3 linked regions of the Canis lupus familiaris genome follow. Each later gene encodes a partner of the first gene's protein in a complex. Links are inferred from orthologs where the notes say so. Each region holds a gene or a part of one and is shown on either strand. Other genes may lie near its edges. The genes, in order: CDHR2, CDHR5 and MYO7B.

Region 1 (3,623 bases):
GTCTTCCTTACCAACTCCCACTCAACACAGTCCACCACCATACCAGCACCAAATACCAGCAACACCCAACATCACCCCATTACCCACACCACCCTCCATTCCACACCCCTTCTGCTTCACTCAATGCCAACCACCAACTCAATATACCCACCCACCTACCACCACCCAATACCATCCTCCACTCCACATTTGGTACCAACCCAATATCACCACATACTACCAAACACCATCCATAGGTATTCATTATTCAATGCCACCCAGCTCACCCACCTCTCAATATCAATTTCCACTTAAGAATACTCTCCAATTTTGCACTCACTCAACCACTTCTATGCTCAATACTGCCACATTCCCCAATATCCAATACCCCAACATCCTGCAACTTCACCAAGTACCCATCACCACCATCTCCTCAACACCACTGAAAACTATATACTCCACTCAACATTACCTAGCATCCACTATTAACCTTCACTCAGTGCTGCCTTTCTGTTCACCACCACCTAGCACTGCCCTGAGCACAAAACTACACACCAGTATAACATCACCCAACATTTGCAAATATCACCTAACAACTCTGATTTTCCAACACTGTTTATGATCAGCACCACCAATCACCCACCATAGCACCTTGTTCTATGGGTCACTCCCCACCATCTTCCCTAGCCATCTCCCACCATCACTCTTGCCCAGCCACCCCTTTTCTGGGTGCACCTACCTTGTCTGGGTCGTAGACCACCATGGTGAGGTTATCAATGGGGATGCGGGTGGAGGCATGCTCATTCACATAGCCAGTGAAGTTGACTTGGGCCTCTTGGGGTGTGAAGGTACAGGCCAGAAGGCTGCAGTTGTAAAACTCAGGTTGGTGGTCATTGACATCCGTCACTGTCAGTGTGACCCATATGCTCACCTTGGCCTCCTGCCCATAGATGTTGGGTTTCGTCTCAGTGGCCTTAGGGCAGAGCAGAAACCAGAGGCCAGAGGTCAGAGAACCAAGGATCAGAGAGAACGGAGATTAAAGGTCAGAAGTTGAGGGTAGGGGTGCAAAAGGGGCAATGGACCCCTCACTCACCATGACCTGGACCTTCACCTCCTCATCCTCTTCCAGCAGCTGCTCACGGTCCAGGGAACCATTGACCATGATCACCCCATCTGACTTGATGGCAAACCAGCCGGGTCTTGTGGAGTCTGATGAGAGGCAGTAGAAGCTACTGCTTCCAGTGGCTGCAGCAGAGCCCCCACCCCTTCCTCCACCTGGGAACACCCCAATTCTCACTGGAAATGCTGTAGATCACTGGGTCATTGATGCCTTTGTCACTATCCACAGCCTCTACCTTCAGCACTGACGTTCCCTGTGCAGAGAACCACGTGGTTCAATGTGCCGGACCCTTTCCCTGCCTCTTGTGTCCACCCAGACCCGTCCAGGTCCTCTAGCACACCTGGGGTGTATCTTCGGCCACAGTGGCTGAGTAAAACTCCCTGATAAACTGAGGGTCCAGGTCTGGCTGGTCGACTACAGAGATGGACAGGAAGACAGGCGAGGAGCACTGGATGGTGAAGACGTTGTTGTATAGGCCGCCTGAGTCCTGTGGGAGATAGGTCTCCGTAAGGCTGAGCCTCATGGTCCTGGCCCCCCTCTGTCTGCACCCCTACTCACACAGGCCCTCAGCTCCAGCTGATAGAAGGCACTCTTGTTGTTGTAGCTGAGGCTGCCATTGAGGACGATGGAGCCATTGGGGAAGATCCTGAAGAGGTGCTGGCTCTCCCCATTGCTAGGGATGACCTGAGGCAGAGCAGTCAGGGCAGGCTCCCCTCTGAGAGACCAGGGCTCAAGTCCTAGCTCTGCTCTTAACCAGCCCTGCCACCCTTACCAGGTCACCTAACCTTTCTGAGCCTCAGTTTCCACCTCTGGGAAATGAGCTCAGACATATCAGCAGTGGGTTGAGAGGAGGGTCCAATGAGGTAAGGTATATGCTAGGCACATCGTGGGCACTCAGTAGACGGGAGCTATAGCTAGCTAACATGCCTTCGGAAGAACTGGGTCACATACTCTGTTGTGTGTGTGACCTTGGACAAGACACTGTACCTCTCGATTTCCTATTCTGTGTACCAGCCACCCCATGAAGCCACATGAACTCAGGAAAAGCCCAGTCGGTGCCCCAAGGCAAGAAGGTGGGAAGAAGGGTTCTGTCCATGGCAGTCACCCTCCTTAGGTGGCTTTATCAAATGAGGTCCAGAGGGGGCCAGCAAAAGGTTTGGGAGCCAGGGCTCACCCCAACACTCAAGGTTCCTGCAGGCTGTGTGGGAGATGCTGCCCCCTGGTGGCTATGAGGAGCAGTGGGGCCCGTATTCCCACAGGACTTGCCTGTGCTCACCTGCTCTATGGAGTACACCACTGCTCCTGCAGACCCCGTGTCTTGGTCCTTGGCCAGCACAGAGAACACCAGGGAGCCAACTGGCAGGGTCTGTAATGAGGAACTCCAATCCATCCCTTCCACGACTGAGCACTCATTTCCCCTCCCTGAGTTTATGTCCCCGATTATACTGCAGGAATAACACCTAGAGCCTGACACTCAATGCTCCCTTTTCCTTCTCACTTGGGCTGGGCCTCTGGAGACCACTGGGGGGAGGGAGGGCAGGGAGCAGATTACCCCCCTTTCCTCTCCCTACCACTTCGGCTGGCTTATGATTTGCAGAGCACCTCAGGAGAAAGAAGCACAATCATTCCAGAATCCAGGATGTGCCACTCCCCTGCTCAAACATCCTGTGGGCTCTCTGTAGCCTACAGCAGTACATCCCAGACAGCACCCTGCAGAGCTGGAAGGTTCTTTGGGGAGGCCTTTGCCCTGTCTGTGACCTGTGCACACCTTCATTATTTCCACAAAGTGGCCAAAGTGATCTTTGAAAATCATAAATCAGACCACATCACTCTTGTGCTAAAAGCCCTCCAATGGTTTCCCTATTTTGTCTAGAATACAATCTTCACTCCCTCTATGGCCCTCTGATGTCAGGCCACTGTCCACCTCTCTCACCTCACCTCCTCCTCACCTTCCACCCTCCATTCACAGCACCTTCCTGGCTATATGCCTAGAACACTCCAAATTCATTCCCAGCTTGGAGCCATTGAATCTGCTGTTCCCCTACCTGGAACATCCTTCTCCTGGAGCATCCCATGGTTGGTTCCTTCTTGCCATGTAGGTCTCTGTTCAAATGTCACCTACTCAGAAAAGCCTTTCCTGGTTGCTCAACCTAAACCAGCCCCCTTCCTGGTCACTTTCTTTCACTTTGCCCTGTTTTACACTCTTCATAGAGCTTAATAGCATCTGAAATAATCCTGCTTATTGAATGTTTCATTGATTATTATCTATATTCTTCATTAAAATGTGACCAGATCTGCCTTATTTACCAGATAGTCTCAGCACCAAAGCCAGTGCCTGGTACACAGCATGAGCTCCATCAGAGTCTGTCAGATGGCTGACTGGACCTCATCAGTCTTATGTCTGGCCTAGTGTGTATTTAGTGTATTTGGGGCCCCACACCAAATACATTTTCAAAGCCGCATGGTAATGAAGATCAAGGAGTGGTGTTGTGTTTGCTGCTCAGGGACCATTAGGGAACCTCCT
Region 2 (3,891 bases), on another chromosome or scaffold:
GCGGGGGCAGGCAGAGGGAGAGGGTCCCCTAGAAGACTTCCCGCTGAGTGCGGACCCCACCCCCACCCCGGCTGGATCCTGGGACCCTGACATCACGACCTGAGCAGAAATCCACTGTCCCCAGGGAACCGAAGAACCAGCCAGGCGCCCCCCCCACTCGGTGGCTTTTCGATTTTTTAAGATTTTATTTATTTATTCATAGAGACACAAAGAGAGGCAGAGACACAGGCAGAGGGAGAAGCAGGCTCCATGCGGGGAGCCCGATGTGGGACTCGATCCCGGGTCTCCATGGTCACGCCCTGGGCTGCAGGCGGCGCTAAACCGCTGCGCCACGGGGGCTGCCCAGCTTTTGGATTCTTAATGAGAATTATCCAGACAAGAACATTCACATGTCCCTAAGAATAAGACATTTGTTTTTTTTTTGTTTTTTTTTTTGTTTTTTTTAATATTTTATTTATTATTTATTTATTTAAGTCACAGACAGAGAGAGAGAGAGGCAGACACACAGGCAGAGAGAGAAGCAGGCTCCATGCACCGGGAGCCCGACGTGGGATTCGATCCCGGGTCTCCAGGATCGTGCCCTGGGCCAAAGGCAGGCGCCAAACCGCAGCGCCACCCAGGGATCCCTAGAATAAGACATTTGGAACGGCATTGGGGATGCCTTTTCATCAGGAAAAGCGCGGAGGGCCCACGAGGGTCAGGGAGGTCCCCCCCTGAGGAGGCCCCCAGAGGGGTTCTGTCCCCGCTGCGGCCGCTGCGCCCCGCAGGCCCGGGACCTCGCCCTCCAGAGTAGTGTTCCCGAGGGGGGCCCCTCAGCCCCCAGGCAAAGAAGGGGTGCCCCCGCCGCGCAGGGTGCGGCCGCGGTCACACCGGGAGAGGAACTTGGGCCGCCAGCTGGCTCCAGCCCGGGAAGCCCCGAGGCGGCAGGTGGTTTACGGGAAGCGGGACGCAGAGCTGCGGGGGGCGGGGGGGAGGGGTGGGGGAGGGGACGCATAGGCCACGCCTTCCCCTCCGGCGGCGGCTCTGGGCACCCTGGCGCAGCAGAGCTTGGACACCGTGCCTTTATTTTGCGCGGGGGGCGGGGGGCGCCGGGCTAGACGTAGGTGGAGCCCCCGCCGGGCTCCCCGTCCTCGTCGTCCCCGTCGCCGCTGTGCTCGCTGCCCGAGTCGGGGGCGCGGGCCGCGTCGGGGGCGGGCGCGTTGAGGACCACCACGTCGGCCTCGGCCCCGATGTCCTCCCCGAACCACACGGCCTTGTAGCCGCCCTCGTCGGGCCGCCGCTCCTTGGTCAGGATGGACCTCACGGCGGCGGGGCTGCCTCCATCCCGGGCCGCCTCGGGGGCGCCGGGGGCAGGGCCCGCGGCTGCGGAGCCAGAGGCCTCTTGGGGCGTGGGCTCGGGGGGCTCGGGGGGCCCCGCCCGCGTGGGGCCGGGGGAGGCGCGCGGAGCCGGCGCCCAGTTGGCCTCTTGGGGGTCCGAGAAGGCCTGGTTGTCGAAGGCGAGCGCCTGGTGGTCCTGGCGGGGAGACGGGACGATCAGGGCATCACCCAGGCCCCGGCCCGGCTGGGGCTGGGACTGTCCCCGGAGCCGTCCTGGGGGACAGGGCCGCGGGCTGGTCTTTCCTTTCCTTGCCGTGTCCGCCTCCACACTCCGTGGGCTGGGACGACCGCCCGGCCCCCCCTCCTGCCCTCCCCCGTGGGCCCTCGGTGCTGCCCCCGCCCGCTCAGGCCTCACCAGGGCTTTTCCGGAGCAGCACTTGAGCCGCCTGCCGAACTGCTTGTGGCCCAGGATAACGAGGGCGATCAGAGCCAGGAGCAGCAGCGCGCCCAGCACCCCGCCCAGGGCCGCCATGTCCACCGCAGAGAAGCGCCGGTCCTCAGCTTGGCTCTGGGCCGGTCCTGCTGGCAAGGCCACCGGCTACTGCGGGCACCCGGCACCCCCACCACCCACCCCAGGCTCTGCACCCCCTGACGTGACAGCTGAGGCTCCGGGGAAGGGCACTACTCACCCCCCGACCGAGGAGCTGGCTGCTCCCAGGGGCCGTCGGGGAGGCCGTGCTGCAGGAGGCAGGGCGGGCGGGCGGGCGTCAGTGCCCACCAGCTCCCAGTGGAAGCCAGGGGTCCGGCACCCTGGAAGGCCATGAAGGCAGTGCTGGGGCCGGTACACGGAAGGCCTGGAATCGCGGGGTCCCCCGGACCCCGAATCTGGCTCCTGCCCCATGCTCTGGACACCTTCCCCGGCCTGCCTAGTCAGGGGCACCCGGGGCCTGTGCCTGCCCGGCCCAGAGCAGGCTGTCTCAGGATTTCACGGTCAGCGTGGTCGTGCTGGGCCACCCCAGGCAGACTCTGCCCTACCAGGACCCCCAGGACCACCCCGAGGGCGACTAGGGCAAGCGGGAGGTGCTACCTGAGGGCTGGGGGGTCCTGCTGGGGTCAGGGGCCAGCGGCTGAGAGGTTCCTGGCTCCAGTGTTGGTGTTGAGCCCCCGCTGGGTGAGGCTGATGGGAGGGAGGTGCTGGTTCCCACACTGGGGGGCCCCCCGGGCGTAGATGAGGCTGGTGGCCTCAGAGTTGTGGTTGTGGGGGGATGTGGGCCAGCGCCCCCCCCAGAGCTGGTCGTAGAGGATCCCTGGGAGGGCCCCGGGGGCCTGGGGGCTTCTGAGGCAGTGCTGCTCGAGAGGCTGGTGGTTCCTCCAGCCCCTGGGGGTGTGGGGGTTTCTGGGGGCCCTGATGAACCTGGGGGGCCAGGGACAGGATCCGGGCTTGCCTCTGTCCAGCGCGCCCGCCCCGGGGAGCCCCCGCCCCCCGCCGGGGTGAGCAGCCGGGCTCACCTGTGGGGGCGGGTCCCTGCGGCTCCAGCACCTGTATCTCCAGCACCGAGCGGGCGGTGCCTGCGGTCACGGTGTTCATGGCCTCAACCTGGAGCAGAAGCGGGGCTGGTCCCTCACAGGCCCCGCCGTCGTCCCCCCTTGGGGGTGCCCCCCACCCTTACCTCTGCATAGGAGACCCCCTTTTGGGTCAGCTGGGCGGCGGTCCGCACGATCTCGCCATCCATCCGGAATTTGGTGTTATTGGTGATGCGATACGTGATGGCGGAGTTGAGGTCCTGGACACTGCGCAGTGAGCCCTGGGCCCAGGCTGCCCCCCGACTCCCCCCCCACAGAGGGCCTGGTGCCTACCGGAAAGTCGGGGTCCTGAGCCCAGACCCTCAGAGGCAGGGAGGGGCTGGCTGTGTCTCGGATCTCCACGCCCACTGCAGAGTTGAGCGCCACGGTGCCATAGTAGCGGCTCTGCGGGAACTGGGGCACGCTGCCAGTGGCACTTCGGGCCTCGATCGTGACCCAGGTCACCGAGTAGCGGGCGCCGTCTGACTGCTCACCCTGGGGGTGGGGGAGGCCTCAGCGACAAGCAGGTCCTCAAAGCCCCGGCCCCATGGAGGCCTGGCCAGGGCGCCCACCTTGACCAGCAGCGTGAAGGTCTTTGGGCTGGGAACGCTCCTGGTCATGGTGAGGTTGCCCGAGTTGGCGTCGATGGCAAATGTGCCGTCGTCTTGTCCTGCGAAGATGGGGGGAGGTGAGGCCTCTCGCTCCGTCCAGGGGTCTGAGGTCTGGGGCCCCCGCTGGCTCTGCCCACGGGCAAGTCCCCCCAGGTCCAGGATGCAGAGGCAGGGCTCCAGCGCGCACTCACCTGTCACGATGCTGTAGAGGACACGCTGGTTGACGCCCCGATCCCCGTCCACGGCATAGATGGGCCCGGGACGCAGGACAAGGGGGGCTGGCTGCAGGAGCAGGGACAGGGGAGACACCTGGGGCCGCTGAGCGGGGCCCAGCGCAGCCCCCGTTCCCCACACGGCTGCTGAGCACGCCCCGTGGGGGTGAATTTGTGCAAAGACCTCG
Region 3 (4,187 bases), on another chromosome or scaffold:
ACCACCCAAGTGTGGCCGCCTGCCCAGGCCCAGAGACTGGCCAAACTTGTTTTCTTTATATAATATAATCTGTTTTATTCCCCATATTCCCTTGTCTCTGATGTTTTCCTTGTGGGCCCTTGTTGCCTCTCCCTGAGTGATTTGACCTAGCTAGCCTTTGGTAACTTCCCAGATAAACCCTAATGCAACAGATGCAATTCTTACCAGCCTGAAGGCTGACATCCTGAGGCAGCAGGTCCTCCCAGCCTATGAGAAGAGAGAAAGCAGAATGTTAGTGCTCATTCTGACATTCTGGCGCTGCGTGGAGCCCCGGGAAGAAGGGGCCATGTGTGTATATCAACATGGCCCTGAGTACCTGGCATGGGGCCTGGCTCAAAAAATTACTCTTTTTTTTTTTTTTTTAAGATCTTATAAGTTTATTTGAGAGAGAGAGAGAGAGAGAGAGAGAGAGAGAGTGAGCAAGCACGAGCAGGCAGGAGGGACAGAGGAAGAGAGAGTAGCAAGCTCCCTGCTGAGTAGGGAGCCAAACATGGGGCTTGATCCCAGGTTCCTGGGATCATGACCCCAGCCAAAGGCAGACACTTAACCAGGAGCCCCACAAGAAATATGACTCTTGAATAAATGGATAAATAAGTCACAGTTCCATCCCAGGGTGAGAAGATGCTTTCTGGATCTTCTTCCATCTTACCTCATCTTTATTGAACATCTATTTTGTACTCAGTACTGGGCTTGATATAGGTAGCATGGGTGGTTTTGAACATACTTAAGACATAGTCCCTGTCATCCAGAAGCACAAATTTTATCTGCTCAGACATCTGTGAAAACCAGTCATCACCCACCACACATGGTGTGTGCACCATGGGGAGTGCTGAGGTAAGCAGCCAGTGTAGCTAGAGACATGTGACGTACTTTATGTAAGCCTCATAGCACCCCAAAACACAGGTACACAGGTGTTTCTCCACTTCTTACATGAGACCCCACAGAGGGCAGGTGACCCAGTTAGGTAGCAGCACAGCTGGGAATCCAATCCTTATCTGCCTCATTTCCAACCTGCCCCCAGCACCTGGCTACCTCCTAGGGGTTTTGGGAGCACTCTGGCAGGCCTCATTAGCTGCAGCAGGCCAAGGAGGGAGACTGGTGGGCCCTGCCTGCTGTTGTCCTGACCTGGGGCACAGGCCCTTCACCCACATCCCTAGTGAGCATTGAGAGGTGTGCTGGTTCTATTTTGTTCATCACTGTGCTCCCCACATCTAGCACAGGCCTGCCCCCAGGAAATGCTTGTTCAATGAAACCCTGAATGATATCCCTGGAGAGGCTTCGACAGTGACTTTAAAAGATGATTAAGAATTCACAGTGGAAGGAAGGGAAGGCCTTCTCCAAGGATGGTGCAACTCTAGCAAAGTCAGAGGGAAAAGTGCAAAGGATGTTGGGGTCAGCATGTTTGGGTTGAGCAGAGTGAGTGGGGAGATGAGAGAAAAGTAGGGGTGTAGGCAGTGGGTGAACATGACAAAGAGCCATTTGCCACTGTTCTGGTGGACAAAGAATTTTCTTATTCTAATTTGTGTTTAGTGTACAGCATTTATATATTTAATGCCAATCTAAATCTTCCACTTTTGTTGAGCACCTACAATGCAAAAAGACAGTAATCAGATTGTATATTCCTTTTTAAAGTCCAAGCTTATGTTTTTCTCTCTAACTCCAAAGGAGCATGGAACCTCCTGTCCTGGTCCTGTCCCTGTTCCCCTGGGCTGGGACATTTGGGCATAGACAGAGGCTGAGAATCTAGGAAAGGCGTCCTTGGGGGCACTGCAGCCCAACTTTCCCACAGATGCTCAGGGCCCTGGGCCTCCCTGCCCTGAGCTGACCCATGGGAGTGGTCCCCCATAGGGGGCTGGGGAGGTGGTATGTACAATGGGAGAGTGTGGCTCTGCCATCCACCAGCTATGCCAGCTGGAGCAGGTCCTGCAAGTGATTTAGTGTGCTCCTTCCTGAAATGGAAATGGTTGGAGTTTTGCAGGGTCTCTGTGAGGTCAGAGACACCCAGGGAGGACCCATGAAATGTTTGTTTGTGCCTCCAGTACTTCTCCAGGAAGCACTCCTGAGGCTCCTGAGGGGTTATCATGCACAAGCATCAGGCTGCTGACACTTGAGGCCACATTTCCACTCCTTTGTCTGTGGAGAAATAGGCCCAGGTGACCACCCATCACCAGGACACCTCAGCTAAGATGGAGCCAGCCAGGCAAACTTTGGGGGATCTGTTTATTCTCATTTAGGTAGTAGAAACCTTGACATCCCTACAACTAACAGCTGCCCTCAGGAGAGGACTTCCCACATAGCAGACCCTGCTGTAGGAGGAGATAACTACTATCCTTATTTTGTGGGTAGAACAACAGAGGCCAATAAATAGAGATTTTGCCAAAACCATTAAACTGGTCAGACAAGAATGGGATTCTTCTGCCCAACTCCAAAATCAATGCACTTTGTCCTACTTCCTCTGCTCTGGGAAAGTTTAAGGGTCTGTATAAAAGTGCAAAGAAACTCTTACCTGAATCCTGGCTCCCAGAAGTTCTCTCAAGGGAGGCTGGACCATCTCCCTGCCTCACATAACCAGTGAGATGATGGGTGGGAAGGATGCAGAGGGGCATTGCCCTGCCCCTGGCTCCCCACTGCCACTCTGGCTTCTTACTTCCCTACTCCAGGGAGAAATTTGAAGCCCACCCATGGTCTCTATCACCCTCTGTCCCCTCACCCGTGGCATCTGACCGTCATGTATATCACATCAACCTTCTCCAGACACCAGGATGTGCCTCACAGTTACCCCCTGCCTATCCTGGACTCCCACTCCTCTGGCCCCCAGACTCCAGTGATGTTCACTCCCCTGCCACTGGCCCTGGTCTTCCCATGTCCCAGAACTGCTCCACCTCAGAAGCCATGTCCTCCAGAAACACCCTAACCCAGCATCATGCCCTCCCCCATGAGCAACTTCATTATGCTTCATTATGACCCCTCACCCCCTCTGTTTTTGGTCTGTCAGCCTGCATCCTAGCTTTATTCCTATCCCAGCCAGCTGGGACAGTGCCTTTCATCTTTCTGGGAACAAAGTGGTTTTACAAATACCCATAAATGTAACACAAAAATAAAGTACAATAAACTGCACGACATGTGCCCCCCTCTGGTCTATTGCACTCTTGTGAAGTAGGACTCCTGCTCACAACTTGCAAAGTCCTACCCCTGAGCCGAGCACACTAGGGATGCGTCACACCACCTCAAAGACAGGCCAGGGCAGTTTCATGGCCTGTACCTCTTCTAGGACTTTAGAAATGCCTGAGACCCTCCCAAGGGCCATGGTCAGCTCTTTCTGCAAAAAAACCCCTATTTTAAAGCTCCCTCCCATTACTCACTTTGTACCACAGGAAAAAGAGAGATGCCCCTGGACCTCCAGTTCTTCCAACTCCCTGCCTTTCCTTCTACATATGAGCACATAAGGGACTGCCCAGGGGAAGGGATGTACTGATGGCCTCTCATTAACCCCTCCAGCTCTGCCCTTTCTGGCCTCCTCCACTGGGGCTCTTGCTTTACCAATTACTGCAGTGGTTACGTCTACACATTTTTTGACATTTCTCCTTTCAAAAGACGGAGACTCATTCTTCCCTCCTTGAGTGTGGACTTGGTGATTCCTTTTAACAAATAAAATAAGGTATAGCTCTGACACTAGTTCATAAAGGCTTTGTGGTTTCCCCCTTCCTCTCTCTAAGATCGCTTGGCTTGGGGAATCTTGCTGCCATGTCATGGGGACCAGCAGCCCTAAGGAGGGGCCCCTGTGGGGAGGAACTGGATCTCCAGTCAACAGCCGATAATCTTGGAAGCAGCTTTCCCACCCTGGTCAAGGTCACAGATGTCCACAGCTCCAGCCAACATCTTGACTGTTACGGGCTAAATTGTGCATTGCCCACCCCGCCCCCCCAACATTCATATGCCGAAGTCCTAACCCCCAGTCCCTCAGAATGGGACTGTATTTAAAGAGGAGGCTTTTAAAAGGGGGATGAGGGGATCCCTGGGTGGCTCAGCGGTTTAGTGCCTGCCTTTGGCCCAGGGCGTGATCCTGGAGTCCCGGGATCGAGTCCCACGTCGGGCTCCCGGCATGGAGCCTGCTTCTCCCTCCTCCTGTGTCTCTGCCTCTCTCTCTC

The links.
Region 2: CDHR2 (region 1) and CDHR5 share a complex: the UniProt entries of both Homo sapiens proteins name them as parts of the IMAC/intermicrovillar adhesion complex. The link is inferred for Canis lupus familiaris from reciprocal best matches to the Homo sapiens genes CDHR2 and CDHR5.
Region 3: CDHR2 (region 1) and MYO7B share a complex: the UniProt entries of both Homo sapiens proteins name them as parts of the IMAC/intermicrovillar adhesion complex. The link is inferred for Canis lupus familiaris from reciprocal best matches to the Homo sapiens genes CDHR2 and MYO7B.

Annotation. Positions count from the first base shown.
Region 1 is NC_049225.1:37,644,379-37,648,001, forward strand, and holds part of CDHR2 (cadherin-related family member 2), read right to left. Parts: intron 2,466-3,623; coding exon 2,376-2,465; intron 1,784-2,375; coding exon 1,658-1,783; intron 1,587-1,657; coding exon 1,440-1,586; intron 1,353-1,439; coding exon 1,277-1,352; intron 1,189-1,276; coding exon 1,073-1,188; intron 953-1,072; coding exon 719-952; intron 1-718. UniProt on the Homo sapiens protein: Intermicrovillar adhesion molecule that forms, via its extracellular domain, calcium-dependent heterophilic complexes with CDHR5 on adjacent microvilli. Thereby, controls the packing of microvilli at the apical membrane of epithelial cells.
Region 2 is NC_049239.1:26,062,435-26,066,325, forward strand, and holds the end of CDHR5 (cadherin-related family member 5), read right to left. Parts: intron 3,774-3,891; coding exon 3,683-3,773; intron 3,551-3,682; coding exon 3,453-3,550; intron 3,376-3,452; coding exon 3,175-3,375; intron 3,102-3,174; coding exon 2,988-3,101; intron 2,915-2,987; coding exon 2,827-2,914; intron 2,732-2,826; coding exon 2,405-2,731; intron 1,900-2,404; coding exon 1,733-1,899; intron 1,514-1,732; coding exon 1,094-1,513; 3' UTR 508-1,093; downstream 1-507. UniProt on the Homo sapiens protein: Intermicrovillar adhesion molecule that forms, via its extracellular domain, calcium-dependent heterophilic complexes with CDHR2 on adjacent microvilli. Thereby, controls the packing of microvilli at the apical membrane of epithelial cells.
Region 3 is NC_049240.1:24,407,182-24,411,368, forward strand, and holds the start of MYO7B (unconventional myosin-VIIb), read right to left. Parts: upstream 2,897-4,187; 5' UTR 2,591-2,896; coding exon 2,546-2,590; intron 247-2,545; coding exon 205-246; intron 1-204. UniProt on the Homo sapiens protein: Myosins are actin-based motor molecules with ATPase activity. Their highly divergent tails are presumed to bind to membranous compartments, which would be moved relative to actin filaments.